Caenorhabditis elegans: one gene and its partner. The protein of the gene in region 1 purifies or fractionates together with the protein of each later gene. This does not show direct contact. Each region holds a gene or a part of one and is shown on either strand. Other genes may lie near its edges.

Region 1 (17,571 bases):
ATTTCATAGAATATTATAAACTACAAGGAGCTACATTTTTCCATATTTATTTGAGAAATGTTAGCAACTATGATAGAGTATTGTTGGATGATTATGTAAGAACTGGAGATATTGAAATAATAAAAATGCACGATCACTTTTGGAGAGATGATTTTATGTGGCACAATGCACAGATCAATGTGAGAATGAAAATGGCAGCCTTGATTTAAAATGAATAATTTTAGGATTGCCATCATCGTAGCAAATTTTTCTCAAAGTGGACAGCAGTTATTGACATCGATGAGAGAATTGAAATGAGATCAGAATCATTTAAAACTATCATCAGCCTCTTAGAGTATGTGATTATAACTTTCAAACGGAATTTTGATACTTTCAGTTCAATTCGTGATCCGAACATTGTAAATCTTCATTTTAAAGTTCAATGGGTGATAAAGGGCTCGGACACTCCTGCTGAATATGTAAACGAAAAAGAGGTAGGTCAAAACCTGAGTTTTCAAATTGTTTCCTAATAATTTACAATATTCCAGCTGATCGATGAAATTATATTCCATAAATACCAAAATACTTCACAAATTGGAGGTTTTTGGAATCAACCTAAATGTATCATTCGACCGGAGAAAATCGGAATGATGACAATCCATGCACCAATGACGACCTACTCTGGGTTACGAAGATCTCTTGTCAACGAAACTATTGGGGTTGTAAGGTATATTTTCAACTTTGGAAATATATTTCTTTTTAAATACGAATTGGTTCCAGGCACTATCGAAATGTAGAACAGCGAGTATTTGCCGGGGCACTTGAAAGAATGATGGTGCATGCTCCATTTAATATATATCCAATACCAAAATGGATTGATGAATTACTGACTGACGCGGTATGGTTTCATTCAAATATAATGATAATTTCTATCGAGTAAACATTTTTTTGAGTAGTTTTGATTATTGATAATTACGGAATTGGACTATATTAAAATTTTCACTACATTTTCTGTCTCACAACATAGCTCAAAAAAATGTTCTAAACTTTCAGATTTTGAATCGTGTGAAATGGGTTTACAACGTCGTCGATGTATCTTGCGATAAAAAATAGGCAATCTATCAAATTCATGGTGGAATCAATGCTCCGTGTTGGATAAAAAGAAAAGAAGATGGAACTAATTTAAGTGATGATGTTTGACATAATTTGGTAATATAATAAAATGAGTTTAACAATTATTTTTTTTTATTTAATTTGGACTAATAATGTTATGCATTTTATTTTCTCCAATCCCTAAAGCAAGTATAGTCTTAAGACCCTTTCTCACAAATCCCGGAACCGACGTCTGTATTCAATGTGGCGTTCATGTGCGCCATCTAGATTTTGCCTCGCTATCTACCTGAAATCTCCATTGCTGCTGCTTTGAATTCATACCACACTCATTTCGCTTCCCGGAAAAATGGGTCGAGATATCTCCAATACTCCGTTTGCGTGGCAGTCAAAAACGAACACACAAAACCGGTTTTTAAAATTTTTACTTCTTGTCATTATATTATCAGCTCTATCATTTTATATTGGGTTCCCAGATTCTAAAAGTGCATCTCCTGTATCAGGTAATTATTCGTTTATTTATAACGTTTTCCCTTTATTTTTGATAGAAAACAATATTGAAAAACTCATGTGTGAATATTCAATTTAGAGTTTTAGATAGTGATTTTTACAGATAAGCAACAATATTCTGATCAGCAAAAAGAAGTCGTCAATTCCAATTCTTCCAACACTGAATCTAAAAATGCTGGTTCTGAAAATCCGGGATCTTCTGAAACTTCAGCTGATCAAACGGCAAATGAACCGAAACCTGATAAAGTTTCTGACGATAATGCAGGATCAGCAGAAACTATAGAATCCAACGGTATCGAAAAAATCCCAAGTAACGATACCAGCTCTCCAATTTTTGATAGTGCAGTAGTACCATCTGGTCCAGCTCAAGAAGAGGACGAAGCTGTGGAAGAAGAGAAAAAAGTTGAGGAAGAGCATGAGAATCACGGAAACTCAGAGGATGCAGAAGAAAATAAATCAGGCGATGCTGTCACTACGACAACTGAACTTTCGATGGAAGATCGGGAAGGAAATGATGATCCAAAAGATGAATCAGAATCAGGTACCACTGTATCAAATAATGAAGAAACAACTACGACTGAAAATAAAGTTGCTGATGAAGCTCCAAGCAAGGAAGCGGAAAGCATCCAAGCTTCTCAAGACAGCGATCACGTTGAGAAAGAAGGTGAATCAGAAACAACGACTACGTCTGACGAATCTGCAACTACCACAGAGAAAAAAACAAACGGAGCAGAACTTGTAGAAAAATCCGAAACTGAAGAAAAGAATGGTGACAGTTCAACTAAGAGTCCTGAAGTAACTTCTGAAAGTTCTGTAGATACAACAACTATTGAAGAACAACTGAAAAGCAATAATGATGAAGAGAAGCAGGTAGATGGAAATGAGAAAGAATCAACATTCCGAGTACTCAACGAAGATCACAATGAAAATGAAGAAATTGGAGAAGGAACGAAAAAGGTGACAGAAGAGACTACTACTGTGGAGACAACTGAGAGGCAAAATGTTGATGATACCACGGAAAACCAAACTACCCAAACGACTAGCTCATCGTATAATGCGAAGGAAGAAAAGAAAAGCTACAGAAAGTGAGTAAGAGAGACACAATTAATTGGTAGTTTTTATTATTTCAGGTGTAAAGTTGAAGAGTGGAACGACGTAACTACAGTTGAAGTTCCAAATCAATCAGTTCACAAAAAATTACTTTTAGATATGGATTCTGAGGATGAAACTGAAAATATTCAGCATAAACCCAGAATAATTTCAGCGTTTGCTTACAAGGACTCAATTGCTGTAACACTTTCGGCTAAAAACTTTTCCAGGTACTGACTGTATCATAAAGTTTTTGGAATTTCAAAAAAATAAATTTCAGTGAAACTGTGTACTGTCGTTATCACGATTGCTATAAGAAAGGAATGGGTGACCCAAAGCCTTCATTTGTGTATCCTGAATCTACAGTGTACTGTCCTAGAAGAGCCGGAGCAAAATATATTTCAATAAGTGAAACACTTGACACCATAGGTCAATATCCTGTTCAAATCGTTAAACGACAGCGACCAGAGCACTTTTTGACAGTTTGCGTTCCTCTGAATGATGAAAATGTGAACATTCTTGAAGTGGCAAGATTCATTGAATACTACAAACTACAAGGAGCCACTTTCTTTAATGTGTATTATAAAAATATGAGTAAATATCAGACTATGTTACTGGAGGATTATACAAAAACTGGAGATGTTAAACTTGTGAAAGTTGGAAGTGAATCGACAGAACAAATTGAAGCAAATGTAAGTCTAGTAGTCTTTGAATTGTTTGACAAGCTAAACAGGATTTTTAGACTTTCGTGTTAAGCTTTAGTGCATGCAGTCCCAAGAATGCCTGCCTAAAAGCGTACCTCGTGCCTACTGGCAAACTACATATGAATCGGGTCATTTCCTAACTGAAATATCAATAATTCAATTTGAATGAGAAAATATCAAATCTACAATTAGTAAACCTTAAAAAACCAGACTACAAAAAAAGAGAAATTAGGCAGTAGGTAGGCATAAGATACCTAGGTACGTAGGTATACGTAGGCATCCAATTCAGCTGGCAATGTAATGGGAAAACTGTAAATTAAAATATTTATTATCAGGATTGCCAACACCGAAGCAAATATTTCTCAAAATGGACTGCATTTTTGGCGCTCAATGATCGCCTGGAAGTTGGAGATGGTGCAAAGGAAGGTACTACAATTGCTTCTAAGATAGAGTGAGCTCTCTTTTTAGGAATTTTAACAAAAATATAATTTCAGTTCTGTTGTGGATTTCAAGTTGAATGTTTTAAAGTACACATCTCCGGAGACTGATGAGAAAATTAGAATTGTTGTTCGTCCAGATAAAGTAAGTTTCTTTTTTATTTGAAATATTTTATTACACAATACAACTATTACGTGTTCTAGATTGTATCCATAAACCAACATCCAATTTTGGTGTATTCTGATGATCAACCCCAGGAGGCAATTGCAGAATCTTCTGGACTTTTGAAGTAAGCATCGACTTTTGTAATTCGGAAAAACAGATCGAATTTCAGAGAATTTATAAACTCCGACGACAAATGGACACCAGAAAACCTATCCGAGAATATCGAAGATAATGTTCCGCTCCGAGGTGAACTTCTGGAAAATGTGAGTTCTATTAAATGATAACATGTAGAAAATTCAATTTCAGATATTGTCACGTACGAAGTTGGTGTACAGGACAATGGAAGAGGATTCTAAGATGGATGAATAAAAGATGTATTTATATTATTTGTTAATTAAAAAATCGGACTGAAATTGTAATTTATTTTATTTTAAGAATTAAAGGTTGTTTTTAATTTTCAGATGACCAGAAAGTGGTCAATTAAGTTAATTGTTAAATTATTTATGACACATGATACTACTTAAGTGAATAACATATTGAATAAGAAAGACAATTCAGAAACCAGGAACTGGGAAAAATGATATATTGACAATGCGAAACACAGTTTTGATAAGTTGACTGTATATTCAACAAAAACCTAAATTGAATCTTCTTCTTCTTCCATATCAGCCAGCCTTTCTGGATTTTTCATGTCTGCTAGGAACTCTTCATCGGCCTAAAATGTAATGAATATGGTAATATGTTACTTATCAGTCAATTAAAAACTTACAGCGTCAATCGCTTTTTGATTTTCCAAGTAAAATTGGTAGACTTGGTCAGGAGTTTTTGTTCCGATAACATCAGCGATGTGTTCGAAATGAGCTCCATACATGTTGAAACCTATAAGTATGCAATTGAATTATAGGACGCATGAGGGGCAGCTTACATCTGATAACTTGTGATCTTTCCAGCTGTGTCCAATCTTGAGAGTAATGCACTCGATCATGAGAGAAAAGGTATGTGGGATTGAGATCAGGATCGTAGTAGGTTTGCTCAACTCGCTTTCTCAGATTTGTCATATCATTTTTCCACGATGCAACTAATTTAATGTCCACTTTACTCCCATGCTGACAAGCTTCAAACATTTTACGACGAGAATCATCAGCCAGAACTCTGAAAAGTAGACTGGTTAATAAGAATAATACAATTATCATAAACAAACTTACTCAATCTCTTCCATACAAACTGTCTTTTTATGCCTCCAGATGAGAGGCCCAGAACCATCAGACTCGCTTTGTATCTCAGTTTTCTGTGCAGATGGGCTCGATGTCTCTCCTACATTGCCATTTTCTGTACATGATGAAGATGGAATTTTGTCAACTGTAAATATCTAAATGAGAAAATTGAGAGAAGTCTATAAAAAACCATCAATTATATATTCCACACACTGATCTTTTACGATTATTCTTTTCTGGAAAGTGCTTCCGGTCGCCTGTGCGGATAGCTTGTCAAAATCCTTCATGTATTCCTTCATATCTGAAATTTGGTGCGTTTTAATAGAAGTCACAAGAATTTGATCACTAACTATCAGGACATGAAACTTGATTTCGGATACGTTCAGCTAATACCAGACGAAGACTTGTTGGACGAGGTACTCCCGTTTGGTTGAAATAAATTAAACAAGCACGGCATTCTGGACGATTCATCGCGTTATTGATCTGTAAAATATTTATTTAGATTGTTAGAAACGTAAATAAAATATTCCCATTCAAACCGATTTTATAAATTATTTTTTATTTCCAGTTGCATTGGAATTTTGTATTTGTGCAGAATGAATAAGTATCGCCAAAAAAAGCTGAAAAAAAACTGGTATTTTCAGATAAATCTTGTGAATTTTTAAATTTTAGCTCAAATTTTTAATTTAAAAAATGTGGGAAAACCCCGGTGCAATAGACAAATTCATGAAATTGCCTCTACTGCTTTGGAATAGTTTTGAACAGAAAACTGAAGATTATTCGATACTAAAAACATAAATTTGATTATTAAAACACAAACCTGCATATTTTCAGCTTTTTCTCCACAGTTGTCACACATTGACTCGAAAATAGCTTCAGGATATGGAGATGGAGTTTCAGTTTCTTCCGAACTACTACTATCATCACATTTCGAATTGACAAAGTTTAGATATTTTACACGTTTTTTTGATTCGTAATAAAACTGAACAATTGACTGAAGAGATCGATGACAGAGCTGAAAATAAAAAAAAATTGAGGTTGCAGGCTTAACAACAAAAAAAATAACTAACCGCTGATCTAATTTGTGAAAAATTTTTGCCGAAAATCTGGTAACAATTCTCAAAAAGAGTAATTTCCTGATCTGTCCACACATCTTTCAGTTCATTACGTCGTGCAACTTCTGCTATGGCCGAGTCAAAATTGAAGTTATTTATTGTTAGGATATACAGAGCCTGAAAAAACATCAAATGAGATTCCCATATAACTTTTTTTAAAAACTAACTCTATCAATAGGAATAAGATATCGATCAGATGATTCTCTGATGAAAGCTTCTAACTTTTCATCATCAATAGTTTCCGGAGTATTCCATATTAGTTCATCTTGATCATCTCTATCCTCATTACATGCTTTATCATTTAAATTAAGATCCGCGATTTTCGCTTGAAACTCTGTTCCTACGTTGATTTCCTTATTCGTGTTTGATAGTGGGCCTTTCACTGAATTTCGCTGAATATATAAGTCAAAATGTACGTTCAAACCTTTTGCGCCAGCATCAATTTCAGGTTCTGCGGCTGAGCTTTCTCCCGAAGAACTTCTTTTTCGTTTTCTTTTGGATTTGCTTGGTTTTGACTAGAAAAAAAAACATTATTTAAAAATTAATTTTTTATAAATGACACCAACCCGTTGTTGAGATGGGCGTGGAGAATCCACATCTACAAGTGAATCTTCTTCTAATAATGTATTTTCTTCGACTTCTGGCACATTTTCTTCTATGGTTTCCGCTGGAATATCAGTTTCGGGACCTGCTATTGTTGATTCTTCAGATGGAACATCTACTTTTTCGGATTGAGCAGATTCTCCATCATCGTCATACAAATCCATTTTCTACAAATTATCGATCGTTAATATGATATTAGGCGTTTGGATACTGAACGAGTATTACAAATGAAGGTCAGAAATGTGTCATTATATGCGGAAGATTCGGAGGAGGGTTCTATTGTTATTGACCGAAAATCGGGTAAATGCGCCCCAATGTACTACTGCGATATTTCAAACACCAAACGATGGGAGGAATTCTTCTTAATAAATCGAAGAAGAGAGCGATAAACAACTTTCTTCATTTTAAATTAAGGAAACATGTTTTTATTTTATTTTTAGAATTAATCTTAAATATATGCGCTTTTTAGGTTAAAAACAAAATAAAATATTATGAGCGTGTGGTTGATAAACAAACAATTTTGAACTTAAAACCGCATATTATTCTTTTCAAACAAAATTTACAGATGGAAATCAATACCGGAAATGCTGTTCTGAAAAAAAGTTACTCTCAAAACCAAAACAAGCTGCATGAAGCCTAAAAAAGTGATCATTTAAATAATTATTAAAATTTCTAGTTTAAAAATTTTTTATGAAGAGGGCGGGGCCTCGTAATTCCACACGCAACTCTGGCACGCGATTTTCGCAAGGTGCGCGCGCTTTTTTGGTTTTTCAATAATTATTTTATTTCCGTCAACACATTAGAAAAGTATTTTAAACTCTCATTAAATGCTAATCTACTAGTTTTAATTAAATTTTTCCATTTATTCCTATTTGAAACTCATCTTATCACCAAATCATGTACACATGAGCCATTCTATTTTCATTATTTTGAATTTTCCGTGCTGGACTATTCGTTCTGCTATAAATTTAATTGTTGCGACAACATTTTGAGTTTTTTACATTTAGAAACAACGTATAACATGTTTCTCCGCGTATTAATTTAATCCATCAATGCCCCGAAACTCCTGAATTACGAAATACATTTATTCATGACGTCTCGTAATAAATATTTGTCCGTTGTTCTTTTTCTCTAATTCTCATGCTCATATGACATCTCTCCTCCTCTCTGCTTTTAAAAATGGCCGTGGCCGTGTCTTTTCTCTCTCCCTCTTCAGTTACAACGAAACGTGATCGTGCGATAACAAGAAAACGAGGCGACGGCGTCTGGGACCACTGGTCCACATCGATTCTTCGTTTTTTCTTGCTCACTGCGCACTCAATAAGTTCTCTGCTTTTCCTCACTTTTTGGAATTTTCGTTTCTTCTTCGACTTTTCTTCGTTTCCGCGTATTTTTAGTGCACTTTTGTGCGTAAATCTCGAAAATTTTCAGAAAATGTCCGACAATGAAGCAAAAGCACGCCAAAAAATGGCAGAAGGACGGAAAAAATTGTCGGTAAGAATTTATTTTTTTAAATTTGCGATTATCGTACTTACTCTATTAGTATTGCACCTAATGGCTCCGCGTTGGATATATTGATTTTGAAGATATTCGTAAATCAATAACTACAAAAGAAAAAAATTATGTTAAATTTGAGCAATGGGATGCAAAGCTAATAGAGTAAAAACAATGTAATGGCAATGAATATAATATTATTTTTGCAGGGAGGCGGCGGTTTCTTAAACAGAATGTTTGGAGGTGGCGGTTCAAATGCCGAAGCTGCAGATCTCTTTATTCAGGTGAATACTTCTTCTGAAAATCAAGAAACTGTAACTGGGCAAAATGAGTTGCGAAATACTTTTGCCAACAATAGGCTCGACCAGGAAGATGACAACATGGATGAAGTGGATGATGAAGATTTTATTGATGAACATTCGTTTTGTGAAATAGAATGTAGTCATAATGGATGTGATTACATTGCTTCAAATCTTCTTGATTATGAGAATCACTATTCACAGCACTCGCTCCAATGTTTCGAATGTGGAATTGGTTTCGATACTGCTCATCGTTTGGAGGTTCATCATGACGAGCGACATAATCCATTTTTCGAAATTCAAGTTTCTCGTGAGCCTGGAATTAATCATTTTCGTTGTCTTCATCCAACATGCGAAATTCGATTTTCTAATAACCGAACACGTGATGAGCATTCACGGATTATTCACTTCATCCATGGTGAATCGTCTCGTCGGCGGAAGGCAGAAGACAATGGAGTCACATCAATCTTAAATGGTGCAATGAACAAAATGAGCTTGCTGGAAGGTGAAGATACCGGATGGTCTGGTGAAATGCAACATGGATTAGAAATGAAAACGAAACGAAGAGTAAAAAAAGCAGCTCGAAAAATGAATCTCGCCCCCGAAACGCACGGAATATGAATAAAATATTTTAAAGCCATTAAAATTAAACAGGTCGCAATAAAACTACTAAATATTTCAGTTTTTTTTTTAATATTTATGATGTTTTGTAATATTTTAGGGAGGAAATTTGTTCAAAATGGCAAAAAATTGGCAAGCCGCTGGTGACGCATTCCTGGAAGCCGCTGAATTCTACGCTAAAAATGGGGACTCCAAGCACGACTGCGCCACTCAGTATGCTGAAGCTGCGAATTGTTTCCGCAAGATTCAACCAGAGGTTCGAGATTTCGAGACTTGTTCGTAATTTAAGAATCTTGATTTTTCAGCGTGCTGTTCAATGTCTTGAAAAAACTTCGGAAATCTACACTGACATGGGTCGCTTCACAATGGCCGCAAAAAATCATGTAAGCATTGCTGAACTCTACGAAACTGAGCTTCCGGACAAAGAGCAATGTGTGAAGCACTACCAACAAGCCGCCGACTATTATAAAGGAGAAGAACAGAAAAGTAGTGCCAGCAAGTGCCTTGTCAAAGTAGCCATGTATTCTGCCGAATTGGAAAAGTATTCTCAAGCTATTGCTGTATTCGAAGAGATTGCATTCTTCGAAGCCGATCATTCAACCCTCAAGTATGCTGCTAAAGGACACTTCTTCCAAGCTCTTTTATGTCATTTGTGCATTGATCCAGTAAGCTCCCATCTGCATTAACACTGAAATCGTTTTATTTTTAAGATCAACACACAACAAGCACTTCAAAAGTACGAAAACGCGTCTCCATCGTTCACAGATTCGAGGGAATGTAAATTTGTAAAGGAACTATTGGCAGCTATTGATGAAAAGAAAGAAGAAACTTTTACCGAATGTGTGGCAAACTTTGACAAGATTAGCAGGTATCGTGTTTTGTCGAATCACTTTTCAATATTTAAAAAATCATCCAAATTTGAAAAAAAAATTCGTTAGAAATGCCAAGTTTGAAATTAGTTTGTAACTGCATCATATGTCTCTGTATACTTTTATCACAAAACTGAAACAAAAATTGATTGTTAAATTAGTGAGCTGGAAAAAGTCAAAAGTAGCTGATTTGAATTGTCGTGCAACTCGAGAATTCAAATTTAAGAGCTAGTATTTTTTAGCCAATTGAATTAATTACCAGTCTGATTTTTGTTCTGTAATATTAAAAAAAAAAACCTTCAAAATAAATATATACACCATTTTGCCAGTAATTTTCCATTCATGATGTCTTTAGATTCGAATTCCAGGAATATGAAAAAAATCACTATTAGGATAATGCTAATTTTCTTTTCACTTTTTTTCAATAGTTTTCTCATTGTTGGTATCATGCCATAAACATGCTTTGAAAAGGTCATGTGACTACATTCTTATCAATATTTTTCTTTCAGACTCGATAACTGGTCGACTTCTCTGCTTCTCAAGGTAAAGCGTACCATTGAAGGTGAAGATGAGGACGATTTGCGATAAATATCTTTTTTCCAATTTTTCCGATTCATGTACTTCCTAATCTTATTTATTCTCATTTAAATATCTCTCTCATTTCCATCCCCCATTTCCATAATTGCGTTGTGTTGTAAAAAAAAGCAGATGTAGAATTCTATTTTGACCAATATTCTTTCGCACCACCCAGTTTTTCTAACTGCGTAACTGTATTTTCAAATTCCAGCAATATTTAAATATTTACTATTCAAATCGCTTTCTGAAATTTCAATTCCTGTTTAAATGAAGTCTGAAAAATGTAAGTTCCTCAATTCTTTGATTTAAGGATGGCTTATTTGCTGCGACCGCATACTTCACTAGAAATTGAAGGTTTCGAGTTTAAAAAATGCCTTATTGTTTCAGTTTCCAATGGGAAATGAGGAGGAAGAAGATTCAAATGTAAGATATTGGAAAACGAAGTACGATCATCTTAATGAAGATTATGAAAGAATAAAAATACGGACGGAAAGTCTCGAAAATCGATTATTAGATGTTGTTGAAGAAAATGATAGAAAAGATAATGAAAATAGTGAGAGAATTAGACAATTAGATGAGGCGTTGAAAGAATCACAAAAACGAGTTGAACAGTTGGAAGCGGCTTGTGTAAGTGATTAGAAAAAAACATAGAATTAAAATGAGATTTCAAAAATTGCAGTTTCGATACAAAAACCAAGCCAAAGGGGAATTTGCAAGTTCTATCAAAAGTGAAGAGAAATTAGAAAAATCTCAACGGAAAGATGATGAAGACAATGAGTATTCAAACGAATTACAAAGTGTACAAGAACTGAGAACAATTAGTGGAGAAAGTGTATGTTTTGATTTTCTATAAAATAGAAACATTACAGGAACAAAAAGTTGCGTATTACGCAAAATATTTGACGCACAAAATATCTCGTAGCGAAAACTACAGTAATGTTTTATATGACTGCAGTAGCGCTTGTGTCGATTTACGGGCTCGATTATCGAAATTAATTAAAATAATTTATTTATCGATAGAATATAAAAATCAAGCAAAGCATTAGAAAATAATATAAAAAACGAAAACACTATTCCAAAAACAATTAATTCCAAAAATCGAGCTGGTAGATCGACAAAAGCGGTACAGTAGTCATTTACGAATTACTGTAGTAATATTGTTTATTTGTCACAAGAAAGAGCTACACCGGAAGATAGAAAATAAAGTAAAATAAAATGATGTAGTTTTCGCTACGAGATATTTTGCGCGTCAAATATATTGCGCATGAAATCTAAAATTAAAAAAAAAATTCTCCGAGTTTTATTGGCGCGCAAAAAGGTTTATAATTATCTTTTTTTTTTGAAATTTGCACTTTGAGAACTGATTTAAAAGTTTTATCAGGAAAACGAAAATAAAACGACAAAATTTGTTAAAAACTAAGTAATTTCGTTGGAATTCAAAGAAAATATAAAAAACAGCCACACAAAGCCGAAAAAAGCTACCATAAACTTTTTTGCGTGCCGAGACCCATATGGATTAATCCGTGTACCTTTAGAAGGAATGCCAAACTCTAGTGAAATAGAGTAAACATTAGAGTAATGCAAGTTAACTTCAATTTTCAGTCAAAATTTTGGTAACGGAATTAGAATATCGTAATACTCTAAATATTAAAAGTACTCTAAATATTTTTTTCATTACTTCATTTTAAAGTTGTTATAATTATTTCAGCCCCGTTCATCAATCGATGGAATCACCCGTTCTCTAGACTTTCACTCTGGTGATCATCTCATATGCGAATATCACAAATTACCGGTTCTCGCAAAAGGCGAAGGATTCATCTACGGGTTCCGTTGGCACATATTCAATAAAATTCACATCGTGTAACCCTATTTCATCTCTTGCATTGTAGCATTTTTTCTGTGATTTTGTTTTTCGGAATAAAGTTTATGTGTCCTTCAAAATCCGATACATGTCTTGGCAATGAATAATTCATTTCAAACTTGGCGACACCTTTATTGCTTCTCGTGCTCACGTGAACTGAGATGAAAAATTATTGGAAATGAGCTCTACAAAAAAGACTCGCCAAAGAACTAGGAAATAGTATATTGTTTGGTTTTTGACACAATTTCATCGCTGGTATTATTGTGTACACGATTGGGCTAATAAGCAAGAGGCGTGTTCCCATTTTTCGCTTTGGAGCTGCAGAACAAAAGGATGCGATAAATATATATTTAGAGATTCTCTTGTTGTTCCTCTCGATAACACACCGTTATTGCAGTTTTGTAGTTTATTAGTGGCAGGTAATTCAGAACAATAATTTTGATATGGTTACACCTATACACCTAGACCCGAAATTTTGAAAAACAATACAGTAGTACATAGATTTATAAATTATAACTATGTATATATTTTTTTAATTGTTCGGTAGCTTACCGAAATGAATCCAGTTAATTTCAATTATTTCTCAAAAATCTATAATTCTAGAATGTTCTGTAAAAATGAGTATTCGTCATTTGGTTTAACATTTTACCAACTTATCGGAAACCTCATAAAATAAACCATAATTTTGAAAGACATGTTTGTATTCGGGGTTTTTGTTTGACATAAATCATCACGAAACAATTTTTGCTTGCGTGGCAATATATTTCTTCGTACATCACAAAAATCATTTCCTCTAGAAAATCCAAGAACAGAAATCACATTTCTATGAGAATCATAGTCATAGATAATAGATAAACTATAAGTTTCAAACATACTTAATTTTGCGTATATATTTTTTGGAGCAAATGGCTGAACAAGCTCTAGATTATATTGTCAGGTCGGAATAAAAAAAGTTCTAAGGATAAATTAACTCTTTTCCAGTAAAACATTTAAAAAAATTCCAGTGTCTTCTCAGAAAATGTCGAGGGATATTTTCAATGTTTGCTTTGTTTTTTCAAACAACTCATTCATTCAATCAACAAGAGATGCAATCAATTACAGGCAAATTCTAGTAATTTCATCTTTAAATGATATTTCAGTGCCGTTGACTCAGGATGAACTAAATTAACGTTTTTGCAAGAGTTATCTCCTAACCATATCGGACGAAATTTTATAACATTAAAATTTTTTTTCACTAATTTGATATTATGCTCAAATCCGCCCGTATGTCTGACACAAATGAGAAAACCGCCTCGACTACCTTACAAGGCGACCCTCGCCTACCTTATGCCTACATCCGAGCCTACTTCTGAAGAACACGTTTTTTGCAGTTTTACCATTGAGCTTTTAGCAAGTTTATTGATATGAGGAAATGAGAAATTCTTAAAATTTGTAGGATCTTGTTAGTTTATGTTTTGGTTTACACTGGCAAAGCAAGTACCCAAAAACTGGAGATTATTTCAAAATGCAGATAGACGGTAGGGAAAACCCTGGCGCAAGATTTTACCCGCGAAAAAGTTTCGCTTCAAAAGTTAAATTATCATTATTGTTAGTTTTCCCTGTACGGCACACTGCTGCAAACATTTTTTTTTCTCGGTCGTCAATATAGATCAACTTCGTCACTCTCAGAGTTTTCAATCTACGAGCTAGTTTTTTTGTAAAATGTTTTGCATTGCATGCGAATAAAGGAAGTATTTTTCATCTCGTAAAACATCCAATATCCACGAAACTCTTAACGTCACTTTCAGATTTCTATCCAAAGAACATTCAATGCCCGTTTTCACTTCTAATTGTTTTACGTAAATTATATCAAATTATTCTCTGGCAAAACCATGTATTATATCTTTCAAGAACTCTAATTTGTCTTTTTGTGATGTCTGCTTTTATTCTTAATCATCTTCTTCCGCATTTCAAATTTCTCCGGTCACATCTTCTTCGATCAACTAACTTCGCAAGCCAATCATATTTATGACATCAAAAATAGATTTCACAAAAGAAAGGAAAAGCAAAACCTTTCTTTTTTCCTATTTATTCTTTCTTGTTAAAATAGAAAACGTGGGAAATTTGTGGGATAGATTGGAATAATTTGAAAAGGATCCTCAGAAATTGGCTCTCAAAGAATACCAATTTTTGCATGTGTGTTCGTCTGTTTTCATCTTTGGTGGCAAACGAATGAATCGTGTGAAAGCAAATGAGCTATGTCACATACCGTGAGATGAACCCACGTATAAATAGCAATTGTTTTTATTTTTGTGCCATTTATGTCATTGTCTCTATGTTAAATTTGGAATTCACATTTGACAATGATTTTCGATTCAATCGGAACAGATGACTCCATGTTATTTTTCAATGACCAGATAGACCCTAACTTTGGAAATTTTAATTTATAATTCATTTGGAAATGATTCCAATAATAAAAATTTTAAAAATTGATTAGCATTAGAGGAACAATATCTGTAAATTCCTGTAAATTCATTTGTTATGTTTTTCCCTCAAAAATAGGCACCTTGTGTAATTTTCTTTCTAGATCAAAAATCGGAATATCATATAAATTACTCCAATTCGAAAATTATTTTCTTTTTTTTCCCAAAATATTGGAATTTTTTCAAAGTGTTGATAGTTTATAATATTGCTGAATAGAAATTGCATCAACCATTTAGTAAATTAATATATCAAACCTACCGTATTTTCACTAATATTATTGCACCCCACTACTTCGCTTTGAATCTTGGTCAATTTCAAAAATATTATATCACTACATAATATATGACACAACGATAGAAAATAAATAATTATTTTCTTGTCAGTTGACACTTTTTGTATTGGACAAACAAAAAGGTTGTGAAAATATTTACTTGCAATACAATTTTAATTAGTTTGAAATACTTAACATGTTTGCCATAGATATATTCAAAGGTTCCATAAATTAATTTTCAAGCCCTTTCAAGTTCACACAGGTTCATTTTATGAGATTTGGTAACTTTGAAAAAAAATAATTCAGCTAGCGAGAACATATCAGACAACTTCCGGTTTAATAATATTCATAGAAACATAAAATATGAAATTGTGAAATCATGAGCTATAATTAAAACACGATGCTCTATAATCCTGAATTGATGTGTTCTCAAAATTAGTTCGACATAACGTCACCCTGAATTTTGCAAAATTGTGGACACCGTCGCCTCCACATTTTTCTTGTTCCAGACAAAATTTTCCATGACTGCCTAGTATTCTGTGGAATCATACTGGCAACTGTTATCAAATTATAAAAGGTTGAATGGCGTCGTGGGGAGTTTGTCAGGCTGTTGAAAGAATCTGGCACAGTGTTTCACTGATAAAAGTTACCCTAGAAGTTGTTAAGACTTCTCAAAAGGAACCAAAACTTATCCAAAAGTTTGAGTTCGAATGTTGAACTCGCAGCCTCCGAATGAAAATCACGGGATTACCTCGTATGGTACGAATAAAAAAGACATGAATATTGAAAATATATTTTTTGTAATGTTCTGAATTTCTCCGCTCACTTATAAAAAACGTAGCCTACTCAATCTGATCTATAACCGATACCTCCCATTTTCCGTAACTTGAGAATGTGATGACAACACCACGAACCACATGAAACATATTTGATCTACCACATCTTTTTATGTCCCACAAATTCAGGTGGTGTCCGTTTTCTCATTATCGTTTTATTTTTTCAATTTCTTTTCTTCATCTGTCATTTGTTCGTCGTTTCATTGATTAATAATTTATTGAAACATTCTCGAAAGCACCAAATCTATCTGAAACCAATTGTTTTCTGTGTGTCTTCATTCCAGCCAAATATAAGTTGGAATAAAGAAACAACTAAATAAGTGACATTAATTCAATGTCTCTACTATTTTCTTCATTTCTTCAATGGCACTGCATTCTCGTTTCTTTCAGCTTTTCTTATAAAAATGAGATAGGCTCAATATTACCCCCAGGCATCTTTCAAATTTCATTCAAAACCTTCTTTATCGTCATTTTTTTTTCATTTGTTTCAAGTTATCTGGCTATTTTAAGTACAACAGTTTCTCAAGTGGTTTGATCAGAGTTCATGTTTGTGCGTGTATTTTTGTTTTGTTTTATTTGCGGATTTTGTAGGTAATTGGATTTTTTGGATTTTTCAATTCATTTTTGGAAACCCATCAAGTTACTTTTGCAAATATAATAAAAATCTCATAATTTTGTTGAAAGCCATTTTATCCAAAAAAGATTTGTCACCATAATTCGATTCGAACTTTGAGCACTACTAAAAAATTTTCTACCGATTATGCTTAGTTTGCCGATTTATTGAAATATTTATGAGAAAACTATCTTACTCCAAAGTAGCCAATCCGTTCAAGAATTGGCAAAAAACCAAATTTCAAATTTATGCCAAATTAAAAACTTTTGAGTTTACATTCCAAAAAGTCTAGTGCTTTTATTGTATTCAAATTTTTCCGGTCATCGATTAAATACCAAGTTAAAAAATTTTGGGGCAGCTTTTCTTTAAGTGGTGGATGACATTTCGCTGTACGACCTACAATTTTCAGCAAAATTCTAATCATTACTCCGAACTCACCTGTCTCGAGGAACTGATAAATAAGGAAGTATTAAACGGTCCAAGAAAACGAACAAACCAAACTACCAGCACATTTTTAGAGTTTTTACAAATTTTTCCCAGAACTTGGAGACCCAATTTCTCGAATTCCGAAAAAAAACACAAATTCAGAATATTCCTTCTCGGCATGACACGCCAATGTAATTCTCACAACTAGGTATGCAAAAAAAAAGTTAGAAAACTAATTGGAATCGCGACACAAGGACCTTTCTAGTGTCCTTTTATTTGTCTTTTGTGTCCTTGTCTGAAACTTGAAGAGCAAGT
Region 2 (16,210 bases), on another chromosome or scaffold:
TTAGGTAGGTAGGCACTAGCCAGGCACCTAGGTGTATTCAGGCACTAGGCAAGTAGGCACGTGTGCCTGACAACGTACCATGTCAGCCTGAGCATAGATCAAAATGTAAATTTCTCCAAAACAAAACATATGACTTTAAAATTTTCAAAAAATTGTTTCCAAAAAATGTATAAAATTTTTTTCGTTGGTTTTCAAATTTTCTTGAAAGGAAATTTTAAAAAATTCCAGAAATTTTTGAAATTTAACAGTTTTCGAATCAAATTTTCAGAGAAATTCGAACAATTTGAACCAATGGGGTTATTCAAGTAATGTAGCAAAATGTATTTAAATACATTTGTGACGTCACAAATGTATTTAAATACATATTTTTATGTACTTGAATACAGTTGTGACGTAATTTTTCTACATTTTTAAATTTTCCGACACTACTTGAATAACCCCATAACTCTATAACTTTTTTGTACTTTTTTGGTAGTAAAAACCCATTTGTTGAAAATTAAAGTCAAATGTGGGTCTCACCACGAAAAGAAGACCTACCTTACAGCTCAACTCCTCTCCAGCTTCATAACCTCCCACTGCTTGAACGGCGAAAAGCAGTAGACTGAGCCACCGGCTCATTGAAACATCATATGCTCACAAAATGGAAAACGACCACAAAAAAATATATGAATATAAATTTTTAGCAAAAATCGGAACACGGGACCCCGAAAAAGAATTGTGGGAGTCTGCGACACACGACAAGGTCCTCCGCGTCAGCTGCTCCTTCGTGTCGCCCCTGAGGGCTCTCTCCATACTATCAAAAAGTGGGTGGAGCCTCCTCTGCGGAGCAAGAGCGGGGCGAAAAAAGAGAAAAACGGAGTGAAAAGAAAAAAGAAACATCTCTTCAGGAGCCGCAGCTACCACCACCGGCAGCAGCAAGAAAAATAATATTAAAACAGGTGCAAAGAGTTCTGTCAAGTTTTTGTCAAATTGCGGGTGCCAGCTGTTGTGTGAGATTATATAAACAATCAGCACTAAGAAAATTGGATTTATTTATTTATATTTTTTTTTGAAAACTTTTAAATCAAATTTCAGATGGAGCACTTTTTAGTTTTTTCAAATGTATCAAACAAGGAAGGGCGGCATCGGCAAACAGCCGGTTTGCCGATTTGCCGAAAATTTTGATTTTCGGAAAATTGCCGGTTTGCCGATTTGCCGAAAATTTTGATTTTCGGAAAATTGCCGGTTTGCCGATTTGCCGAAAATTTTGATTTTCGGAAAATAGCCGGTTTGCCGATTTGCCGAAAATTTTAACTTCCGGCTATGTGCCGATTTGCCGAGAATGTTCATTTCCGGCAATTTGCCGATTTGCCGAAAATTTAGATTTTCGGAAAATTGCCGGTTTGCCGATTTGCCGAAAATTTTCATTCCCGGCAATGTGCCGATTTGCCGGAAATTTTGATTTCCAGAAAATTGCCGGTTTGCCGTTTTGCCGGGAATTTTGATCTCCGGCAATTTTCAGGTTTGCCGAAAATTGTGATCTTCGGAAAATTGCCGGTTTGCCGTTTTGCCGGAAATTTTGATTTTCGGAAAATTGCCGGTTTGCCGATTTGCCGGAAATTTTGATTTCCAGAAAATTGCCGGTTTGCCGTTTTGCCGGGAATTTTGATCTCCGGCAATTTTCAGGTTTGCCGAAAATTGTGATCTTCGGAAAATTGCCGGTTTGCCGTTTTGCCGGAAATTTTGATTTTCGGAAAATTGCCGGTTTGCCGATTTGCCGAAAATTTTAACTTCCGGCTATGTGCCGATTTGCCGAAAATTTTCATTTCCGGCAATGTGCCGATTTGCCGAAAATTTTGATTTTCGGAAAATTGCCGGTTTGCCGATTTGACGAAAATTTTGATTTTCGGAAAATAGCCGGTTTGCCAATTTGCCGAAAATTTTAACTTCCGGCTATGTGCCGATTTGCCGAGAATGTTCATTTCCGGCAATTTGCCGATTTGCCGAAAATTTAGATTTTCGGAAAATTGCCGGTTTGCCGATTTGCCGGAAATTTTGATTTCCAGAAAATTGCCGGTTTGCCGTTTTGCCGGGAATTTTGATCTCCGGCAATTTTCAGGTTTGCCGAAAATTGTGATCTTCGGAAAATTGCCGGTTTGCCGTTTTGCCGGAAATTTTGATTTTCGGAAAATTGCCGGTTTGCCGATTTGCCGAAAATTTTAACTTCCGGCTATGTGCCGATTTGCCGAAAATTTTCGTTTCCGGCAATGTGCCGATTTGCCGGAAATTTTGATTTTCGGAAAATTGCCGGTTTGCCGGTTTGCCGAAAATTTTTATTTCCGGCAATGTGCCGATTTGCCGGAAATTTTGATTTTCGGAAAATTGCCGATTTGCAGAAAACTTTGATCTTCGGAAAATTGCCGGTTTGCCGATTTGCCGAAAATTTTGAATTTCGGAAATTTTCCGATTTGCAGGAAATTTTCATTTCCGAAAAATTGCCGATTTGCTTAAAAATTATTATTGCCATTCAAATTAATATTTTTATCTTCAGAAATTCAATTCGAGAAACCAAAATATTGAAATAAATAAAAGACCCGATATAAAAAGTGACGAGGTACAAAAAAAATGAAAATTTAAAGTCCCAATAAATCAATCTCTGTGCTTTTTTGCCAATGAATCGACAATCACAGTGAAGACGGAATCATGTTGAGCAGTGTCTTGGGCGGTGAGAATCAGGCACACAGCTCCGATAGCGATGTGGGCAAGTGTATAGGATAGGCCAGGTGTTGTAGCGAATAACTGGAAATTTAGAATTATTACAACAGGGCTTCGATTATTTTGTGAATTACCAAATATGTAAAGGAAGTTGCAAGTAGTGAAACTCCCAGGAATATTGATGTCTGACCAGTTGGGAGTACTTCTGTGAAGGATGGACATTTATCGCCGAGATATTCGCGAATGGTACGCCAGCTGAAAATTGGAGTTATATAATAAATATTGAATTGAAGTTTTGAAATAAAACTCACTTATAAATAATCCTAACAGACATGTTAATAATATTCGCCACAATAAATCCTGCAGAATTCATGTACACACAAAGCACATAATTAATAATAAGATGAATGATCGACGTGACAAAAAGGAATTTTCCGTGAGTGAAAATCTGTCGATTATCCATACTTGCCATTGCGAATCCCTCAGTTATTCCATTAATCGCCGTCACAAGAATATAGCCAGAGTACAGAGAAAGTAGAAGTGCTCCTCCATTTTCAGAAAGTAATTTTCCTCCATAAAGTGAAATTACAACTGGTGAATACGGAATTCCGAATGTGCAAGCGACGAATCCAATTACTCCGACTACATGGAGTACTTTGGATAAAGTATCCACCAAATCATCGTGATTATCTGTATTCTTGTTGAAAACGCTGCTTTCTTTACGAATTGTGTTGGAGAAATAGGCATTGCAGTTCTCATCGATTGGTGATAGAATCGTCCGGACGATGATGCTTCCGACTCGTTCAACGGCGTCGTATACAGCTGGAAAATCAAATTTTTAAAAAATTGGGAATACAATGTACTTTTCGTAAAAGCAACCTATTATTAATTTTGTGATTTTTACGGTTCCCCGTCTCGACACGACAATTTTTAAAGAAAATAAAAGAGTACTGTAACTACGAACTTGTGAAAATTATTTAAAAAATCAATGAAAAATCTGCAACAACACACATTTGAAATTACAGTACTCTTCAAAGGCGCACTCACTTTCGCATTTAATAATAAATTGTCGTGTCGAGACCCAATGCGGTATTTTTGACGCAAAATTCTTGGTGATATCGATTTTTTGCTTTTTTACTCAAAAAAGGCAACTAAAAGACTGAATTTTGAAACGCGACTTTAAAAATGGCGGTTTTATTTTAATTTCCTTGTCAGAGCGGCCATAAATCGATTTTTATTGGATTATTGTCTTATTCAGCTCATTTTTGTCGCTTCTCTCCCGTTTTTTTCGTTGATATAATTATATTAACCACCTATCGACTTTAAATATGCCTTAATCAACGGAAATATAGGAGATTTTAGCTAAAATCAGGGTTTTTTTTCCGGAAATTGTGAGCTTCTCGCTATAAAACTCAGTTTCTGTGAGCTCATTTTGGCTATAATTCGGCAAAAATCACCTTGATCCTTCAAGCTAAGAAGCTCAGTGAATGTCATCACATAAGCACTTCCATCGGTCAACAATTGCTTCAAAATCGAGTGAGAAAACATTGTGAATACTGCATGAATCGAATCTCGATCGATTCCTTCGCTGAATTTCGGGAAAAGATCCGAGAACGTTGAGAATTGCTCAAGTTCAGGAATCGACTTGTTCCGGATGTAAATGTAGAAGGCGACAAAATTGAAGAGAAGATACGCGATGGCTCCGATATATTGAGCATAGGCGAACAATTCCAAATGGTACATTCCGGGAAACATGAATAATCCGGCGAGCACGAAAATTCTCTTCACACAGATCAGCATTCCTTGTCCGATTGCAAAGTGTTGGGCGAGAGAACCGCATTTTGATTCTAATCTGAAATTTCACCACATAGTAATTATAGTTTTTAAAAGCCGAAATTTAAAATCTAAAGTTTACCTCAAAGAAATCACAGAAAACGGTTCGGCAATGGATTCAATAATCGCAGAGATCGGAAAAGAGAGAAGAACACTCCATGAAACTTCATCCGAAGTCGACGAGAATGCATACCAAAGATATACACAGACTACGCTAATAACTGTAGAAATAATAGGGCTGAGCCAGAGTAAATTGATGAATTTCGGCAAAGATCCGCGAATTATTTCAGCTTTCCGGAGTGGTTCTCGAGTGAGAAAGAGGATTGACGAGTAGAGAAGGGTTAATCTGCAAAAATTTAATATTTTGTGAAATATTATTTCAATAAAAAATATAAAACAAGCTTTTTTAAGCTTTTAAACATCATTTGAATCTGAAATTAATTAAAATTTGGCGTAAAATTATAGTGAGAAAACCATGCGGCCACCTTGCAAAATTGTGTGCCAGGCTTGCCTTAAAGCCACGCCCACAAAATTTATTAAATATTAAATGAATTAGAATAAATTTCACTTTTTTTCTGTAAAATTAAATTTAAAAAACCGCTCACCTCACATTCACTAATCCTAAAACATCGTTATTGATCCTCCGCAAAAGATACATATTTATAGCGAACGATATTATTCGAGCGATTAGCTAAAAGTTCAAATTTTCTGCTCAAATTAATATTTTAATATATTTTTACCTGCCCCCGTACATTATGAACAAGTGACGAGAATAATGACATGGTTTTTATCGCTTTTTAATCTGAAAATTGAAAAAAACAATTCCCGCAAAATTATCGAATTCAAAGTATTTTGACGATAAAACTATTTTAATAGAGTTTACAAGTAAAATATAGATGATGATAAATTCAAAATATTTATTTAAAATTCTATGAATAAAGGAGGTTCCCTTCCCTGATTATTGGATATTCGTAGTGGGTGCACACGAACACCATTGCGTCGAGAGAGTGGAGGAATAGAGAATTGGAGTGAGCTGTGTGCACTCAAATGTACTGCAGAAGCCATCTGTGAGACTACGACGAAAAGGTTCTTCTGGAAAAATAGCCAATTATCTGATCTGAAATTAATTTTTTTTCCGCACCTGAAATAGAAATGTGTCCGTTTGACCACTTGGAACACAAACCACATAATGGAATGTTTGACCATGTCGCCTGACTACAGGCCCTTGTGATCAAATGTACTCCGATCAACAATTTTCTTTTCAAATTCCAAGTTTTTCAGTTTCAGTTATAACTATAGTTAAAGCTCGCCACAAAGAAAACAACTATATGGCGTGACGTTTTTTTTCTTGTGAGTAGCGTGATAAGAGAATAATTTCTGGGAAAACTTCGAACTGCAACATTCCGAAGCTGTTTCATTCACATAGAACTAACCGAAATAAAAAATTAGAAAATCTGAGGGGGAAATGAAGTGGGACGAGAAGAAAAATGGGGATGTTTGAATGATAGTGATGTGATAAATACGGAATAGATGAGGAAAAGGTTTGAATAAATTTTTGTGGAGAATAGAAAAACAATGAGGACGCCGTGAATTTTTTACAAGTCCGTATAAGTCAAAATTTATAAATAAAATAAAATGGGATTGCGGCTTGCTTTTTTATGCACAAACGTCGAAGGCATGAGAAGTTTAATGATGAGGATCCCAAGGATCCCAAAAGAAAAAACGAAGGAAAATGACAAGTACGTACAACAAATCTATGGGAAATGTTGGCGGCGCAATATGTAAGAGAATGGTGCTTTTTTCGAGAATGGAATAAAAAAGGAGTGAGCAGAAGAAGAAGAGTTCAAGAACTGATCTGTTTACAGGTACTGTCCAAGCCAACGGATTCCTTCTCCGTATCCTTGTCGCTGAAGAACAGAGCACATGAACACTTCCATCGGCCGAGAAGCCATTTCGTTGCGGGAAACGTCTCCTATAAAGATTTTCGTTTTTTAAATAAATTCAAGCGATAATTTCCAATCAAAAACCAACCCTTTCCGGTGCACATATGTTGAATGTTGAGTTGCCACTTGAGCTGATCCTCACTCAATGCTCCTGGCTTGTCAATCTTGTTTCCGAGAATAAGCACTGGAACGGAAGCGATCTGCTCGTCCTGGAGCAGCGATTCGAGCTCAACACGGCTTTCTTGCATTCTTTCGGCGTCGGCCACATCGATCAAGAAGACGACGGCGTCCACGGCAGGGAAGTAATCTTTCCAGACTCGTCGTGCTGGAAAAATGAAGAAAATTAGTTTAAAAAACCGAAAAAACGAGTGAATACCTTGCGCGTGACCACCGAGATCGTATGTGGTAAACGAAATTCCTCCGAGTGACATTTGCTCAGATGCTGAAAAATAATCAATTCAATAATTCTCACAACTAGTTTTTTGCGTCATCATCTTTAGCAATTGACAGATGATAAGCAAAACCGGTCAATCAGCTGTAAAGAAGAGAAAGATATCATTTTTTTAAAGTAAGATTCCTTCCTTTAACAGGCTGAACTACACCGGAATTGCTTTTAAAATCAATAAAAAGCGATAATTACTTGGGTGAAGAGTGGGAACGTGTTGAGCAATACGATCATCTTTAAGCATGTGAAGCAGTGTAGTCTTTCCAGCGTTGTCTAGTCCCAAAAATACCAATTTTCCCTTTTTGTTGGCCAATCCTGTAAATAAAAGGTTTTATGATGGTAAAATTCAGTTTTACAAACCCAGCATGTTGAGCACTCCATTAAACCAGTCCCATAAAAACGACATATTGAATCTGGAAAATTATGCAATTAATTTATTAATTAAATCACTTAAAAATCGGGTAAATCAGGCATTTTTTAGAGAATAAATGAATGAACTGAAATAGATCAAAAGTGGGAACTTTTAGTGGTTAAATGGGGGTGAGAAAAGAGGAAAAGAGAGAAAATAACGAGGCGGAGACATTCTGTGTAGCGTGCTACACAGAGACAAAACGACACGCGCTTCCACGTGTACCCGAAAAGAGAAAAGAGACGCAGTGTGATAATCAAAAAATTCTAATTCTGAAAATCGGCGATTCGGGACCAGGAAAGCTTCATTTAAAGTGAATCCGGAAAGCGCTGACGTGTCCAAAGTGGCAGATGGTCGAGAAGTGCGCCAGCGTCGGGAAATGCGTCAGTAAGGATGAAAGGCGCGCTTTCCGTGCGGAATGGAGAAAATACGCTTAAGCTTTAAATAACAATTAAAGGCATGCAAAATTCGACAAATATCACAAATTTTAAGTAGAGACGAAACATAATGGAAAGACAATTGGCATTTACAATGTAAAACTCCTAAATTTCAACAATAATCGGTGGAAAATTAAATTTTCGTTTAAATAAAAAGTTTAAAGAATAAAACTTACGCGCCAAAACTCCTTTTAATGAAAAATGTTCAGATCACTTCGAAAAATCGATTTTTGAAACTGATTCGAAAAAATTTAAATGTTGAAAAGAGTTTTTATGGCATGGTTTTTTCTCGATAAAAAAGAAAACGTGAAGGAAATGTTTTTCTTTTGAAATTATTCATTGAAATTTGAATTTATAAAATAGTAAAACTTATTCAGCTACATTTGGTCTCGACACGCCAGATAATTTGTTTAATGCCTCAAAAAAAGCGTGCGCCTTTAAATACTACGGTATATTTCTTCGATTTTAAATCCGCTCAATTTTTGAGAAACTGAAAAATGAAATTTTTAATACCATGGGAGAAACTAATACCGCGACCCGAAGGTTTGTCATTTTTGTGGCAAAATACGGTATCCGGTCTCGACACGACAATTTGTTGTTAATTGCAAAAAGGTGTGCGCCTTTAAAGAGTACTGTAGTCTCAAACTTCTGTTGTTGCACAATTTTCATTGTTTCTCATATTTTTCTTAAAAATAGGTGTATCAATTATAAAAAAATATAAAGTAGAGTTTCCTACCGTCCAATGTAGGCTATGCCAACACGCAAAATTCACGTTAGTTTGAAAGTTTTCATTTTCAAAAAAAAAATCAAGTTCATTCATTTATTTTTTTTTTCGAACTTTATTTTAAGCCAGTCGGAGTAGGTCGAGCCGTAGGCTCGAACGACACCGGCTGGTCAATTATAAAAAAAAACACACATAAATATTATTTAGCAAATCGCGAGTAAAACTGCAAAAAATCGATGAAAATTCCGCTGCACCAAAAGTTTCAAACTACAGTACTCCTTTAAAGGAGTACACCTTTCTGTGTTTAACAAAGATAGTCATGTCGAGACCGGGTACCGTATTTTCGCCTCAAAAATTACGATTTTTTCGTTTTTTTTTAACTCAAAAACCTGTAAAAATATTTTTTTGACAGGAAAAATTAAAAATCCGAAAACTACTGTATTTTTAAAGGCACATAACTCATCTCTGCAGTTTCAAACTCATCTCTGCAGTTTCGATTCAGTAATTTTCGGCCGTGTCGAGACCCGGATTCTTGTTTTCCCTGAACAAATAAAAATTAAACTTTCTAAAATCACCATTTTATTTGAAATTAGACAATTTCAGTCAGTGAATTGTTGTCTACTACTCACGAAAATGACATAATAAAATATATATAAGAGAAATAAAATAAGGCAACAGTATATACAGACAAAGGAAAGAACGAGGCAAAAAAAAGACGAGAATTTTGTGATGTTTTGAGCAGATTTGTCGAGGGTGGTTGTTGGCGAACAATCAAAACGAGATCAGAGCAATGGGGCACCTATGGGGGAACTAAAAAGAAATTTAGTGGGTGCGGTATCCACCATCTGGCTTGGCTGGGGCCTCGGTAGCCGAGTATCCTCCACCGACGACGGCTGGCTGCTCTGGCTCGACATGGGTCTCCTCGGCCTCCTGCTCGTCGTAGGATTCCTCCTTGGTCTCAACAGCTGGGGCGGTCTGCTCGTATCCTGGCTTTGACTCCTGAAACAAGGATCTTTAGTTAGGGAAAAGAAATGGAAGAAGACAAAAAAGTGTTAGTTTTCAGAACATACAGTGAAAATTGGTGCTGGTGGAACATAAGGTGCTGGTGCTGGTACAGGTGTCTCCTCAGCGGTCACCTCTTCGAAAGAGGATTCCGTTGGTTGGACTGGTGCGGCGACTGGTGCGTCGGTCTCCTCTTCGTATACCTCTTCTGGAGCCTCAGTTTGTGCTGCTGGAATTGGGTACTCAGTGACTTGTGGTGCAACTGGGGCAGAGGTCTCGACGAAGGTCTCTGGTGCTTGTGGAATAACTTGTGGTTGTGGTGCTGGCTCAACAACGACTTGTGGCTCAACAACTTGTGGCTCGGTGACTTCTGGTGCTGGTTGAACTGGTTGAACTGGTTCAACGTGTGGCTGTGGAACTGGCTCGACAACTTGTGGCTCAACAACTTGTGGCTCAGCTGGCTCAACAACTTCCTCTTCATATTCTTCAGTATTCACCTCAGTAACTGGCTCGACGAATGGAGCAGAAGTGGCAGCTGGGGCTGGGGCTGGCTCCTCGAAGTGGGACTCCTCGACAACGGTGGCTTCTGGGACAGCTGGAGCTGGCTCCTCGACGTGGGTCTCTTCGACAGTGGTGGTTGGGGCAACTGGAGCTGGTTGAACGTTCTCGTATGTTGGGGCTGGGGCTGGGGCAGAGGTGGCGACAGCGACGATCTCGGTCTCTCCGGCGACTCCTCCTTGGGCTCCGTATCCTTCCTCGGCGGTCTCTCCGGTCTGGACAACAGTGTTGGTTTGCTCTCCGACGACTGAAGTGGCTCCGGCTTCCTCTCCGTATCCTCCAGCGGCAGAGGATCCTCCTTGTTGAGAGATGGCTCCCTCGGATGTGGCGGCGGTGGCGTCAACATGAACGGCAGCTGGTCCTTGTCCGTATCCGGCGGCTGGGGCGATAGCTCCGACTTGTTGTTGAGAGGTGTATCCTCCGTTGATAGCGGCTGGTCCTTGGTTGTAAGATCCTCCGGCGCTCACTGGGGCTCCGGCTCCAGCGTATCCTTGGGAAGCGATTTGTCCTCCTTGGACGGCTCCAGCGTATCCTCCTTGGGCTCCTTGGGCGGCTCCGGCGTATCCTCCTTGAGCTCCCTGGGCTCCGGCGTATCCTCCTTGAGCTCCTTGGGCTCCGGCATATCCTCCTTGAGCTCCTTGGGCTCCGGCGTATCCTCCTTGAGCTCCTCCGTGAACTCCGGTATCATATTGTCCTCCGGCTCCGGCTCCTGGGTAGGCGGCTCCTCCACCGAGTCCTCCGAAAGCTGGTGGTGGTGGTGGTGGGGGTGGTGCTCCATATCCGATTGGAGGTCTTGGGTATCCAGCGGCTGGTGCAGCATAGCTAGAAAATATTGAATGCAAAATAATGAAAAAGAGCAGAAGAAAGAACTTACGCAGCAGCAGAAGCTCCACCACATGGGTTAGCGCAAGCTGGTTGAGATGGTTGGCAGCAGCCACCACCTCCTCCACCGAGGCCTCCGATGCATCCGAGAGCTGGGGTAGCGAGAAGTGCGATCAAAAAGAACTGAAACAAGGAGAAAGTGAGTGTGAGAAAGATAATGAGAAATATGAAAGCCAAAGTAATTTAAATGAACTCACACTAGCCATGACGACGACACAATATGTGTTGGAGTGTAAGTGTAGTACCGTAAAATGAAAGATTCGGTGGCAGCTTAAGTAGTGCCCCCACTCCAACCCAACGTCTTGTCACTCCTCCCACCACCTCCTCCTCCGGCTGCGTGAAAGAGAAAGGCGCTGGCGCAACATGCCCAGCCGAGGGCAGATCGCTGCGTAAAACAGTTTTCTGAAATCGAACCCAGACGTGTCTCCGACGATGCAACGATCTATCGCCTCGGAATGTGGTGTACTATTGGGGGTAAGCAGCAACACCCCCCTCCGGCCACATACGGGTGACCAGTGCCACCTTGAACAAGGACCGGTATATTTTTGAAGAGTGACAACACAAAGTGAGAAGATATGGATAGAAAAACCGATAGTGTGTGTAAGTGTGTGGGGATGGCAGATTTTACAGTGAGATTGCCTATTAAGACAATTTTGATTGCAAAAAATGAGCAGATTAGGAAATTGTAAGCTAGATACATTTTCCACTAGAGCTTGTGTTTTAGACATGGAAAGATGGTAGATCTTCAAAGAGAACAGTGTTATTGAGCTTGGCCCAAGAGGTGTGATTTTGAGCCAGTTGAGGACTACGAATCCTTTGCCTGCCTGATCTCTATGTCCAACAAAAAAACGTTTGCTGTCAGGTGTTGGAAATGCATGTACTCTGGACTGAGCTAGAGCTCAGCTGTATGAGGGACTTCCTTCCAATCATGCAATGATCCTCTTTATCGTGATACGGATTTCAGAGACTTGCTGGGTGAAGGTAGAGATGCAAGTATTTCAACGGTGGTACTACATTCCTAGCTCATCCCCTAGTACCATTCTATTCCCGATGTCTTCCAACCTCGAAAGATCCTACTCGGTTTTCGCCGAAGCTGTGCAAGGATCCATCATGTGACTTTACCTGCACCTCCAGGATCTTCAAACTCTTGTATGAATCCAAATTCTGACTTCTGTTTTCTTCATCTTTGCATGCCTATTTCTCAATTATGTAATCCATGCCCATAATGACATATCCCATTTCCTCACATCTTTCCTCCATTCCCGCCCGACTCATTTATCCGATCCAGTCAGTCGGCGCACTCGGTCTTCATGCAAATCACCCAATATGTTTCATTACCGCTCTATGTATCCTAATCTATTGCGTAACCGATTGTTGCGCCAGCGCGCGCCGTTGGTCTGAAGAAGGTTTCGATTGATAAGCGATTCACTTGATTAATTGCCAACCGTCCCGATCAGGCATAAGCTTTTTCGCTTTCATTTCCAATATCTGCTGTGTAATGAGGTGACACGATGGAAAAAATGAGGAAAGGAGGAGGAGGAGGCTGTGGCAAAGGTATAAAGATTCAGAATAGCCCGGGGAGATATATCAGAGCTGATCTGACAGAGGAACATGATCTGTTCCACTTTGTAACTGAACTCTACATCTTGCTATATCTAGCTAGTGCCTGGGCTGCAGACCTTCTCATTTCAGAAGGTGCAATACATCTTACGCTCAAAGTTGACAGCTCCTCACTAAAATATCTATGAAAATTTTATCAATAACCTCTGCTATAATGTTGTCAGTGTGTTGTGTCAGCGAAGACAAATTTCCAATAAAACTTGTTCCCCGACTTCGTTCAGTGTAAGAAGTGTCTAGTCTCCTCTAAACCGAATATTTCTAATACCAACTTGATTACGCATCTCGGAATTTTCATATTCTAAACAAAGGATTAATCATTGTAGAAATGTTGAAGACTTTTTAGATGATATTCTTCAGGTGCAAATGTAAATGTAAATGACCTAGGCTCGCAAGTTTACAAGGCCTCACGGCAAATGTGATATGATGTTGAAATAAGTGATAACACTGAGATACTTTATCAAAAGTAAAGTATACCAGTAGATAGACTACTAGATAAGTACATATTTTTGAAACAAATTGTTCATAATTTCTAAAGCAGCCAACTTACCGGTGATTGAAATTCTGTCGGTCTGATCAAGGTGGCTATTCAACTGATCCCTTTGCTATTTGACCTCCGTCTCAAATGAGGTAGTCGTCATACGACGTTTACTGTGGAGAGAGTAGATACGGCCCGAGAAGTGGGGTCCTGTGCGCAATTTGTCTACCGTATACTTGGACGTTTGGGCGCGTTTTTTTCTCAAAAACGGATGGCCCAACATTTTTGTGATGCATATAAAAAATGTACGAAAATAAATGCTGAATTTGTTGGTCCAAAGCTTAAAACGCGCCCAAACCTGGCTAAACCCAAATTATCAGTAGAGCGCCTTTATATGGATACCACTTTGTACCACGAAATTTTTGACCGGGCAATCTGACAACAACTGATAAATGATTTTTCCGCAATGAAGCTAAACTTTTTCCTATAGTCATGCAAATGCGGTTTATCGAACTCAAGATAATCACTGTCAGTCAACTACCGGGAAATTGACTGCTATGCAAAGTCTTGATGCCTTTCAAAACGGCTCGATTTATTATTGAAACACCTACACCAGCACCTGATCGGTAGAGCACATTTACACTGGTGTAGTTCATAGTTAATCATGATTTGCAAATAAACATATCACATCAATATCTATGGACTTTGTTCTACACAAATCTAGTTCTGATCTTAAAAATAGCCATATCATCAAATCAAAATTACATAACAATCTGCCACGTCATGAATCAAACACCAGGGGGCCACTCTTCCGGTTTCTCACGAAAAACAAAAAGTCCAAGTGACTCTATAAACATGCCTGTTAAGCTGAAAGGACGATGCAAAAATTCAGGCAATTACGCAAGCGGTGGCGGCTTCCCGGTTTCCCCTACCGCGCAATGAAATTCGTTTTATCGCTCAGTGGGATCTCAGGCCGGGCAGCTTCTTTTATGCAACGGCGGGCGCCTACCGCCCTCAAAATCCTTCATTACGCAATTTCGCGACGAGTTTCTTTATTGGCGACGCCTATCATACCTTAGATGACCTTGGGCAAATCTGGCTTCTCCTCTTCCTCCCTCCGTGATATTTATCTTTAGGCTTTTCGTGTTGAAAGAAGGGAAATGGGAAAAGAAAATAAGTTATATTTATTAAGAATCAGACAGGGATGAGGGGACACAAAAATATACAAAAATTTGATTATTAAACTTTGGAAGTTTTTCTTTTTTTCAAATTGGAAGTTATGCCTATTTGCACATTGAGATGAGATGAGAAACGTCAAATTTGGAGAAAACAGAAAAAAAATAAAAATTAAAAAGTCATGGCCTAGAAGATCCAGTATTTTCTTCCATAAGGATTTTCATTCTCAATAGTTTCGATTTGAATCGGCTCGCTCACTTGCTTGGTTTCAGCTCCTTGCACCTGTTAAAAGATATGTTACCAGTCCAGATATAGTTAATATTTTGTTCGACACTTGTGAAATTTTAGTCCAATTTTAGTATATACCCTTCTTAAATTACTCGAAAATCTATTTTTTTAATTTTATTTATGCTTTTAAGGGTAGTCAAAAGTAGGTACACCTTTTAGAAAATCTGATTTTTTTTCCAAAATATCGGAAATTTTCTCAACATTTTCAGAAATTTCTTTCTAAAAATAATTTTTAAAAATTCTGAAAATCGTCCACTTAAAAACTTCACATGTCGTCAAAAAACTATATCTTAAGAAAATTTTGCAGTACTACATAGAATTTAGTTCAGACCCCTCACCGTTTGACCTCCAAAAATTGCAAAAGTTGTTACTAGGATTTGACGCAGAAAAATCCCGCAATTTTTGGAGATCATGGCGGGTTCGGAGTTCATTTTCACAAAAAAAGTATTTCTAAAAGTGTACAGCTCCAATTTGCGAATTTTTGAACACAACAACTTAAAGTTTAAAGTCTCAGTTCCTTCTAACCTATCAAGTTTTCTTCACGTTTCATCTCCAGTGTGACCCGGAAATTGAACCGTTCAAAAAGCTAGGTGTAAAATTTTGACAGCTTTCTACGTCACAAACGTGTTTGGTGTGATGTTTCATGCGTAACACAACATACCTTTGCGAACTTGCTTCCGTATTCTCCAAGATTTGGCACAGCGTCGGTTTCCGTGGAAACCTAGAAAGTGAATGTGTGAGTGGATTGGATGAAACTTAGAGCTTACCTTGTTCTCCACCGATTTCTCTTCATCATAGTCGTTTCCGTTGGCTGGTGCTGTCTCGACGGTCTCCGAGGGCTGTGAAATGTGAAACTGAACCATGCGAACCGAGAAAATCTAGACTTACCTGGGATGTCTCCTTATCTTCCTTGGAGGTTATGTTCTCGAAGAACTGGGATACTGGAGCAGCAGATGTTGGCAGAACCTCAACGTGTACCTCAGCAACTGGTTGTTCAGTAATTGTTTGAATGACAGCTGGTTCTGGATTTAATGGGACCTGTGGTGTGACAACCTCGTGAACTTCAATTGGGAGTTCAAATGCAATAGTTGGAGCCGGTGCAGACGAGGTGACTTCCACACGGACGGCTGGTGCGACTGGCTGGAGATGAACCTGTGGTTTTGGCTTTGGCTGTGGAATGATTGGAGCAGTCTCCTCTGGGATTACTGCGACGGGCTCTGGATTGGATGGAGCAACGTTGTGAGATGGCTCAGCAGTTGGAACATCTTTACGATCCTCGTTCAGTGGGGCAGTATCGTAGTCGTCTCCTTCGGTTTGGATGATGGCTGGTTTTTGGTTGGTGTTTGGTTCAACGGTGACTTGGTTGAAGTCCAAGTTGCTAGCTGGGGTGGTGTTGTCGAGCTGCAAGGAAATACATTTTAAATAATGTTGGTCCAGAAGATTCTAAATTTCAACTTACAGTAGCAAGAAGCTCATTAACAGTAGCTTGCTCATTAGCTGGAATGTTAGATGGCTGGTCATAATCCGATCCTCCAGAAACTTCAATTCTATCTTCCTCAGCCACGACTTTCTGCAAAAATTCATTTTAACCTTTTCGAAACAAATAAAAATTTCCTTACAGTCTCTGGTGCAACATGGGCAGTCTCTTGAACAACATGTGCTGGCTGAAGTGGTGCTGGATGGATTGGTGCAGGCTGGATGGGTTGGATTGTGTGGATCTCTTG

What was found.
Region 2: the proteins of snap-1 (region 1) and sar-1 fractionate together in Caenorhabditis elegans (co-fractionation; one large-scale study listed by BioGRID). This does not show direct contact.

Annotation. Positions count from the first base shown.
Region 1 is NC_003283.11:8,122,259-8,139,829, forward strand, and holds snap-1 (Alpha-soluble NSF attachment protein), read left to right. Parts: upstream 1-8,358; 5' UTR 8,359-8,361; coding exon 8,362-8,421; intron 8,422-8,630; coding exon 8,631-8,705; coding exon of another isoform or gene 8,706-9,341; exon of another isoform or gene 9,342-9,441; coding exon 9,442-9,597; intron 9,598-9,646; coding exon 9,647-10,006; intron 10,007-10,051; coding exon 10,052-10,209; intron 10,210-10,719; coding exon 10,720-10,798; 3' UTR 10,799-11,071; downstream 11,072-17,571. Other genes in the region: gtnt-17 (Glycosyltransferase family 92 protein), read left to right, coding at 1-179, 225-334, 377-473, 528-706, 760-877, 1,033-1,092; gtnt-16 (Glycosyltransferase family 92 protein), read left to right, coding at 1,439-1,592, 1,703-2,684, 2,730-2,918, 2,969-3,380, 3,728-3,843, 3,887-3,974, 4,034-4,119, 4,165-4,258 and 1 more; REST corepressor spr-1, read right to left, coding at 4,633-4,710, 4,765-4,874, 4,921-5,147, 5,201-5,354, 5,400-5,510, 5,560-5,692, 6,030-6,224, 6,280-6,441 and 3 more; D1014.4 (t-SNARE coiled-coil homology domain-containing protein), read left to right, coding at 11,180-11,413, 11,466-11,618, 12,495-12,650.
Region 2 is NC_003282.8:4,505,992-4,522,201, forward strand, and holds sar-1 (Small COPII coat GTPase SAR1), read right to left. Parts: upstream 7,329-16,210; 5' UTR 7,322-7,328; coding exon 7,276-7,321; intron 7,231-7,275; coding exon 7,111-7,230; intron 6,913-7,110; coding exon 6,847-6,912; intron 6,796-6,846; coding exon 6,559-6,795; intron 6,500-6,558; coding exon 6,387-6,499; 3' UTR 5,902-6,386; downstream 1-5,901. Other genes in the region: gbb-2 (Gamma-aminobutyric acid type B receptor subunit 2), read right to left, coding at 538-618; rfth-1 (Man(5)GlcNAc(2)-PP-dolichol translocation protein RFT1), read right to left, coding at 2,629-2,778, 2,829-2,949, 3,006-3,516, 4,152-4,546, 4,610-4,873, 5,133-5,218, 5,268-5,309; ZK180.8 (uncharacterized protein), read right to left, coding at 5,449-5,592; ZK180.5 (Prion-like-(Q/N-rich)-domain-bearing protein), read right to left, coding at 9,308-9,484, 9,556-10,867, 10,920-11,050, 11,125-11,133; ZK180.6 (Prion-like-(Q/N-rich)-domain-bearing protein), read right to left, coding at 14,385-14,480, 15,148-15,207, 15,254-15,325, 15,375-15,887, 15,946-16,056, 16,106-16,210. UniProt on the Caenorhabditis elegans protein: Small GTPase that cycles between an active GTP-bound and an inactive GDP-bound state and mainly functions in vesicle-mediated endoplasmic reticulum (ER) to Golgi transport.